Linked DNA regions of Bombyx mori. The protein of the gene in region 1 binds, or shares a complex with, the protein of each later gene. Links are inferred from orthologs where the notes say so. Each region holds a gene or a part of one and is shown in the gene's direction. Other genes may lie near its edges.

What was found.
Region 2: ragulator complex protein LAMTOR5 (region 1) and ragulator complex protein LAMTOR3 homolog share a complex: the UniProt entries of both Homo sapiens proteins name them as parts of the ragulator complex. The link is inferred for Bombyx mori from reciprocal best matches to the Homo sapiens genes LAMTOR5 and LAMTOR3.

The regions. Positions count from the first base shown.
Region 1 is NC_085110.1:1,232,703-1,237,271, forward strand, and holds the start of ragulator complex protein LAMTOR5, read left to right. Parts: upstream 1-1,736; 5' UTR 1,737-1,841; coding exon 1,842-2,114; 3' UTR 2,115-2,117; intron 2,118-3,003; exon of another isoform or gene 3,004-3,464; 3' UTR 3,465-4,569. UniProt on the Homo sapiens protein: As part of the Ragulator complex it is involved in amino acid sensing and activation of mTORC1, a signaling complex promoting cell growth in response to growth factors, energy levels, and amino acids.
Region 2 is NC_085109.1:12,157,852-12,162,275, reverse strand, and holds ragulator complex protein LAMTOR3 homolog, read left to right. Parts: upstream 1-1,497; 5' UTR 1,498-1,649; coding exon 1,650-1,693; intron 1,694-2,010; coding exon 2,011-2,203; intron 2,204-2,936; coding exon 2,937-3,077; 3' UTR 3,078-4,188; downstream 4,189-4,424. UniProt on the Homo sapiens protein: As part of the Ragulator complex it is involved in amino acid sensing and activation of mTORC1, a signaling complex promoting cell growth in response to growth factors, energy levels, and amino acids.

The DNA.
Region 1 (4,569 bases):
TGGAGATAATATCCAGCCTTGCCTTACGCCCTTCCTAAATTTAAAGGGGGCAGAGATTGTTTCCTCCAGTCTTATGATTCCCTGGTTATTAATGTACAGGTTATGTAAAAGTAGGACCAGATGTTGCGGTACTCCCAAATCTGCTAGTATTTTCCACAGGTGATCCCATTTGACGCAATCAAAGGCTTTACTGTAGTCAATAAAACACATGACCATCGGGGTGCCGAACTCATACGACCTCTCGATAAGCTGCCTGATATTGAGGATTTGTTCACGTGTTCCCTTCCCTTTAACGAAACCGGCTTGCTCTTGGGGATTTGCCAATCTAGGAAGTGGCGCAAGCGGGTGTTGAGAATGTACAGTAGAACTTTGCTGCAATGTGAGACAAGGGCTAGCGTGCGGTTATTGTCGCACTTCCTAGTTGACCCTTTTTTATGAAGCGGCAAAATGATCAACTCAGTCCAGTTATTGGGCCACTCGCCATGTTGCCATACGTAATTGCAGATGCTATGCACTGCATTCACACCCCTATCTCCCAGCGATTTAATTATTTCTGCCGTGATGTGATCCGGTCCTGGAGCTTTATTGCTCTTTAGTCGAGAGATGGCTTCTGTTACTTCTGATCGTATTATTGAAGGTTCTAAGGTTATGTCGTCCCAGACTGGGAGTTGTGTACTCATTGACTGAGGCTGATCATATAATCCTTCACAGTATTTACGCCACATTTCGACAACGGCATTTAAATCAGTGATAGGCTTGCCATTGGGATCTTCAATTATCCAGGATCTTGGTTTAAATTTCCGAGACAAAAGGCGAACTTTCTTGAACAAATAAGACGGTTGGTATTTTTGTGAATGTTTTTCGATATCAGTGTAAATGTCTCCAATGAAACAGCTTTTATCTCGGCGGCACGCTTTTTTAATTTCCTTGCAAAGGTCAGAATAAGTCTTCCTGACGTCATCATTCTGTAATCCCTTCACTTTGATGTCTTTCCTCTTGCTTATAAGCTTCTCTTGTTTGCTCCGAAATCCATACTTTGGTTTTTTTTCCGATTTGCATTTCCCTCTCTGCGGGAAGCCTTGATTTCTTCAAGGGATTCGCAGAGATGAGATTTTACGGTATCCCATTGAGTGTTAGCATCGCCTGTAGGAGGTTCTAGGGCTAGTTTTTTCTCCACGGCATCGCATAAGTATGTCCTTTCTTCCGGTTCCAGTGCACGTGGTCCTCTGATGGTTCTACTGCTGGCAGTTTTGTGTCGTAATGTAAATCTTTATGGTCAATTTTTAAAAAAACTACTACCAATTGAATAAGAACTGTCTGATGAATTCATCTTTGTTTAATACTTCACTATTAAATTTTATTGACTTTTGTTTATTTTACTTTTACACTAAACACTAAATATTGCAAATTACCCGAGCACAACAATGGCGGAGAATTTTAGATGCGTGAGAGCAGACGTAGACAGACGTAGACGCATGCACACTTAACCCAGGGAGAAAAAGTTACACTTTCTTTCCTGTACAGCAGGAGGAAAAGTTACACTTTCTTCCCTGTATAGCGGGACGAAAACCGAACTTTCGGCGTCGGTAGGAGAAAAAATTTATTTTCAATTATTTGTACCATTTCGCTATCGTAACACAAACACGGCTCAGTCTAACAAAAAACTTAGTTCTATACACGGCTTTATTTGCTTGTCCAACTAGACTTTAAAAAAATACATCTGTCAGTGCTGATGCTATGTCAAAAGTCAACAAAGAATCTTTTGTTTTGTTTCCAAAAGACAGTCGACAGTCGACTTTGACCGTGTTTTTTATAAATTAATATAAATTTGTTTAATAAAAATGGAAAACGATCTAGACAAAGTCGTAGAAGAAATCATGTCTATGCCTAATGTCAATGGCTGTCTTATCGCGGACCCACAAGGACTATGCTTGGCATCAAAAGGCGCCGCGCACGTAGACTCTGCAGGGATAATCGTTGCCATATCAGAACAGGCCTGTAAAATACAACCGAACATGAAACCGCCCACAGTTTGCCTTGAAACTGATAAAAAACAGTGCCTCATACAACGACATGGCACGATCACCGGAGCGATTTTTAAATTGAAAACATAGAAGGTACTTGTATATTTTATTTATTTATTGAAAATGTAATAATTGTTTATCATGATATGTATGAACGGCCTTGAACTTAAATGAACTCTTTGCTGTTACTTCACAACATAGTTTTCTATGGAACATGAAATTACTTGTAAGTTATGACATAAGTGAAATGTAATAACAATATTTTAATGTACAGGTAGCTAGCCCTACTATAACACGGTATTTTACAACACGATTCCACACTAACACGAAAAGATAAATTCCCCAAAACCTTATAATGAGATTTTTGTTATATAGAAAATTACATTACGCACTATGAACACACAAGTTATGGGAGTAACTGAAACTTTACTGCTTCATCATCATCATCATCATCAGCCCATCATCAGTCCACTGCTGGACATAGGCCTCTCCCAATCCACACCGAGGGTATTTTTTATTTTTATATAATATCATATATTATATAAAAACTTCTATTATTATTCTATTATTTTTTCTATTATTATTAATCTATACTAATATTATAAAGAGGAAAGATTTGTTTGTTTGTTTGTTTCGAATAGGCTCCGAAACTACTGGACCGATTTGAAAAATTCTTTTTCCATTAGAAGCCGACATTGTCCCTGATGAACATAGGCTACTTTTTTTTATTTTTTTTTATTTTTTTTTTTGGTTTCTGTGTGTTTTAATGTTTCCGAAGCGAAGCGAGGGCGGGTCGCTAGTAATGATTATAATGCAAGTTCTTGAAAATAAATCCATTCATGAAAAGAATAATAAGGATGAAGTCTCAAGATGGTGGGTGATAGCATTCACATACTCACATACATTATTCACACATACATTATTAGTAATTATTTAAGTTTCATTTACAGTTAAATAAAGTTTATTATTTGTTTTTCAGTAAAATAAAATTTAAAACAACATTGAACTATTCTGGTAAGCAAGCTATCCAGAAGATCGTGTATTATTCAGCCAAAAGTATGTTAACTTAACATCTCTCAGGAGGTTATGTCTAGTGATAGGAAATAAATTAAAATTATTATTTACTTTTAACTGACCCCCAAAATAACATAAATTTGAATACTTCTTTATCTAGATTTTAATTTCAAAATTTATCTAAAGTATTACCTACCAATCATAAAATGTAAAACCACATAAACATTGTATAATGTTATTTTAAAGAGAATAAATATTAACAGCTAAATTATTGTAATGGCTTACCACCATACTAAGTAAAAGTTTAACAATTATGATTAACATAATATTGTATTCCAAGTATAAGTTTTTCGTAACCACATAAATTCTCTAGTTTCTTCATGTAATAATAATAATGACTGGTTTTTTAATTTGCTTGTTTATTAGCTTTGCCTGTATGCATTGGAATCTTTGAACATTATTTCAACCCACCTCGAAACATTATATAATTGAAATTTAGCACACTTATAAAGGACCGCCCAGAATAATAGAATAATATAATAAGAGTATCCCATTGGACTGACCAGGATCTTCAGGATTATTCTCAAATAATATATAACATAGTATGTTTTTCTTTGGTTTTTGAGTTGTAAACATAATTTAAGTACTTTTACTGTTTAATCTTGCATTAATTATTTTTTGTTATAAGTTAAGTTGCTTTAGTTAACTAAATGATTGTTTAAATTAAAAACTTTCTTTTTCAGCTCGCTAAAAAATACTAAAAAGTAAAAAATATTTGTTAGATGTGGAAAGTTTGTTCTTATAGGATCATAATTTCGTTCTTATTTTAAAAGTTTTAATATAAAAATTAAGTTTAAGTAAGGAAAAGTATGGGGAGTGGTTCTACTGTAAGAAAATATTATTAATGATCATTTTGGTAGTTTTTCAATTACAGCACAAGAGCGCATTATGCAGCATAATGCTCAACGTTGAATGTTCCAACTACAGCAACGCTTCGCACAATCGAGCACTCTCAAAAGTACTGCTGATACTCGCAATCGGTACCAACTCAGTGACAGAATAAATTGACAAGTGTTTTTTCTTTAAGTTGGCATTGATCGAAATTTTGTTTATATTATCGTTAGTAATATTATTTAATGTTGAAAAAAAATGTAAGGCTTTCGTTTCGTCGTAGTTTCTTAGAAATAATCAATATTAAATAAAACTGTGCTAACTTAGCGCACTCTGCTGATGCATTTGAAAACTAATTGACTTTCCAATTAATCTTCAGCATAATTTGGCATTGTGCTTCACTGAGTCGCATTATGCTCTGTAATTGGAAAACTACCTATAACACTTATCATTTAGTTATGGACTATTTATTGTAAGATTTGATGTTAGGCACCCTACACTTTATTAACTTAAATGTTCCACAGGACAAACAGTTACTTAGACTGTGGATAGCCTTTTAAAAGACTATAGAAACGAAACAATTATTTTAATGTTAAGTATCTCTTGTTATTTTATATATGAGGTTTACAAATATTATAAT
Region 2 (4,424 bases), on another chromosome or scaffold:
CAAGTTATTTTAATACATTCACCGGTGAAGACGCTTTACCATTTTATTGCTAACTTATACTGTAAATAACGTTCTCTATTTTGTGACGTCACTATCCCGAAAATCACGAAACAGCAGAGTTACGTATACATGCTCCTGCTTTTGAACGTATTAACACAAACACCCCTTTAATACTCACGATACACAGGCCATGAAAAAGAACGCATATTGAGGCGAAAGAGATTTTTTATTCTTTTGTTATCATACCAAACTTGTAATTCAAGATATTGCAACATTCAATTGTGATGTTATTTAACACTTTATTGCTTCGCATTTATGAACACTTATTCTATTATAATTGGTTGACTATGCAAATAAATCTCTAGAAGTACAAAGGCAATAATTATTGTACCCAAAAATAAATTACGAAAATCCCACAACTTGTCAGTTCGATTCTGCCATTTTGGCAATAGACTTTAAAAATAATTTTTAATCTGTGTTCATTTACATTTGAATTTTTCGCTGTTTCCAAGTCAGTAATATTTATTAAAAAAAAAAAAGAATTGCTCGCTACTGACATTCTCATCTCATTTATTTTTTTGGGGATCCTCACGGATCACTTATCGGCATTTGTTTAATAAAATAAATAGTAAACATTAATAGACTTATGTGGGATTAGTATTCTATATAGATCCATATTCGTTGTATAATGAGCTAATTTTGAATTAAGCAACAGGCACAAATAGATTTTGTAACAGAATAATCATAGAATATAGGTAATCTGTGAACTTTCATGAAATTTCTGAAATTGGCCTAAAACCTTTTTTTTGGAGGGAACGCGAGGAGTGACGTTGTGTGAGTTGTTTTATTTTGTCAATTTAGTGTTTCTTCAGGTTTAAATGTGTAATAACCGTGGTTTATAAACTGTTTAGTATAACTGTGAAAGTGCACAAATGTGGGAAAATGAAACTAAGCCACTGAACGTAACTTCTCGGGATCCTCCAAAAAGTCCACTCAAAAATCTTAGTAAATGGCCACCATTTTACTGAGATTGTATTTCATCCCTTATCATCCCATCTCATTTCATTTCATGTTTCATATGAATGAACTTCATTTCATTTCACTTCATATTATCATTTTTCATACATAATAAAAATATATTTAAAATATAAAAGCTTAAGGCAGCGATTCCCAAAGTGGTCTATATCGACCCCTAGGGGTTATGTTATTTTATTTATAGTTTATTTTATGTTACGTATATTTTACATAACAGATACAAAATTTTATTTTGAGTAGTTTTAATTTAAATTCAATTAATAAATGTATAAATTAACATGGGTTTTATTTTAAGTTTTTAACACTAAACTTTACTACAGTTAGAAATTTACAGGAAATCAATATCAGGTAAGTAGGGGGTCTACCCAACACGGAAAAACATGGCAAGGGGTCTACGACACAAAAAAGTTTGGGGAACTCTGGTTTAAGGTATATACTAAGGTACCTTTGCCTGTCCAGTTGGAAAAACAAAATTAGTATTACTACTGGCGTAAAACCAATTTGTCAACTGTCAACATTAAAAAAATATAAACAAACCTTATTTTTTTCACAATTTAGTATTTGCTAGCTTTCCATATTTCTAAAACCAAAAAAGATTTTTCACTGTAAAAAATATGGTTGACGATCTTAGAAAATACTTGAATCATTTACTGGAAAAGTAAGAAAACTTTATAATTTACGTTTTTACTCTTTGGTTTTTCGTTTTATTATCTTACTTGCGACCCGCCCTAGCTTCGCTTCGGAAATTGTTATTTATTATTGATTTCTCCACTATTTAATGGATGTTATTATACACATAAACCTTCCTCTTCAATCACTCTATCTATTAAAAAAAACCGCATCAAAATCCGTTGCGTAGTTTTAAAGATTTAAGCATACATAGGGATATAGGGACAGAGAAAGTGACTTTGGAAAGTACGTACGGATGGATAAAAAAGAAAAACTATTGATGGCCTTAACTTTATTCTTTTTCAGAGTAAATGGCCTACATTGTATTTTGATTACCGATAGAGACGGTGTACCCCTTGTGAGGGCGGTAACTGAAAGAGCGCCTCCACTAGCTCTGCGTCCTAACTTCATATCCACGTTTGGAATGGCCACAGATCAGGCTAGCAAACTTGGGTTGGGTAGAAATAAAACCATTATATCAATGTATTCTAGTTATCAGGTTAGTTTTGAAAAAAATATACATTATTATTTTTAGTAAGTGATAAATATATAGTTATTGCGTGCTACCGAGTGCTACCAGGCAACCTCCGACGGAGAGCCAGCGCCAAACTATAAAAAAGATCCCTCGCTGCGCATTTGCCCTCTTTTTTGTGTGTAGCGTTCATGTACGTTTCTTGTTGAAACATGTTTTGGACTTGTGTAGTTTTTACAGTTTTCGTTAATGGTAGATTGAAATCATTTTGTTAGAAATTTTGTTTAATTCAGTGAAATATAATTAGACCAGTTCTGTGTAATTTATTTCTATTATATAAGAGGTTTAACTACCTCACTTCTGGTCAATTATAGAATTGTAGGGCTATAAAGCCTCCCTCATACATGGAGCTATTGTCGCTTATTGAGTGCTAGTTATTAGTAAATACATGATGTTGAAGAATGAGACTGCCCTGTTTGCCTGGAATGAGTATAATAAGTTAGTTAAATTTCTTTAGGTGGAATCATTGCTAACACAAGCTGTATAATAGCAAAGGAAGTCAAATCTGGGCACAATTTTGGGCTTCAGTCAATCAGTTATTATAAAAAATATCTAAATTTAAAATACATATTTAGAACCCTAAAATTATTGATAAATTATTTTAAATCGAAATATTGCAATCTTGAGCCATTCACAGTATAATAGTATTTCTAATATTTCTGTAATGTTCATGTTTAATAAAAATAATCATAATTTACAGGTGGTACAAATGAGCAAACTACCCCTAGTTATCACATTTATTGGAAGCGACAACTGCAACACTGGTCACATCTTATCATTAGAGAGTCAGATTGAACCGTTCTTGAAGGACTTGGAGGTGGTAGTTGCAGATGCACCTTGAATCAAACAAGCGAAACCAAAATATTTCTCATAAATTACTCATATAAACATGTTTTTAAAATATATCAAGGCTATTTGGTTTAAGCGACATTCATCTTTGTAATTAAAGGTACCTTTTAATTGGTATTAGCATCAAGACTTTGTTGAACTTTAATTAAATTTACTCCATTCTAATAGCAGAAGAAGTGTTTTTGTCTGATATATTTTTCCAAATTTTAAACATTTTGGCTCACCTGTAAAGTTTCAAAAATGTTGCTTAAACCAAATAGCCTTTTACAACTCTCTAAAATAGGTTTATTAAGGCTAATGTGGGATCGAAGTTACATATTTATTTTTCGGTGCTTTTATGAACTGTATATAGTAATATGAACATTGGCAATGCCTTGCGTTTTTTTACAATAATCTGTTTAGCTAAAGTATATTGATGTAAAATAAGTTATGTGGAACCCATCATAAAGTAATGCAAATCTGCAATTACATAGATTAAATGCAATATAAAAGTTTATCCAAAAACATTACATAATTGCATATATGAATATTATTCGAATGCTTTGAGTGCAAATACCTATAAAATTTGGTGTTGCCAGTGTCAGTTTTGAACTATAACATCTTCTTTTTTTAACTACCTACATTACTAACAATGATAGAAAAGTTTAAAAACTGAAATAATTTATATTAATAAGATGTATATAGAAGCAGGGTTGACTGCATATAGTTAGTAATGTGTACATATAAGGCAGATGACGTATTGGAATATGCAATGCAGCTTGATGCAGAGATGCAGTCCAATATTCCAGGTATTTGTTTAAAAAGTGCATTATATGATTCATTGATTTATGTATGGACATGTAGTGAATACGTCTGGTATGATATTTGCCTAAAATATATTTTTTCTCTAAAAATGTCAGTAGCTACTTTGATATATTACAACTAGTTTATGTGTATTATCTATTATCTATGGTTACAGTATCCCTAAATGTTTATTGGTGTTTAATGTATGTATATATAATTGAATTTTGGAATTGAAATTCTAAAATGCTATTTAAAGTGTCAAAACATATAAAGTTATAAAAAGGAAACTATTTACGTACCATTAAAAGTTAACTGTTTTAGTTCTTGTTTTCTTAATTTTGGGAATTACCTACTTGTATAGTTTTCTGAACGAATTTATCATTGAATTATTAAGTTATAAGAAGCAAACCTTTTAGCCAGATCAGAACTACTATCGTTCGGAAATTAAGGTTGGGGCAGCAACTTTAGGTATGATGGGATTCATTTATTTTCGTATCAGGAATCACCAGCAGTGCCACCTTCTCAATGACAAGTGTTCATTCTTGATAGTGATAAA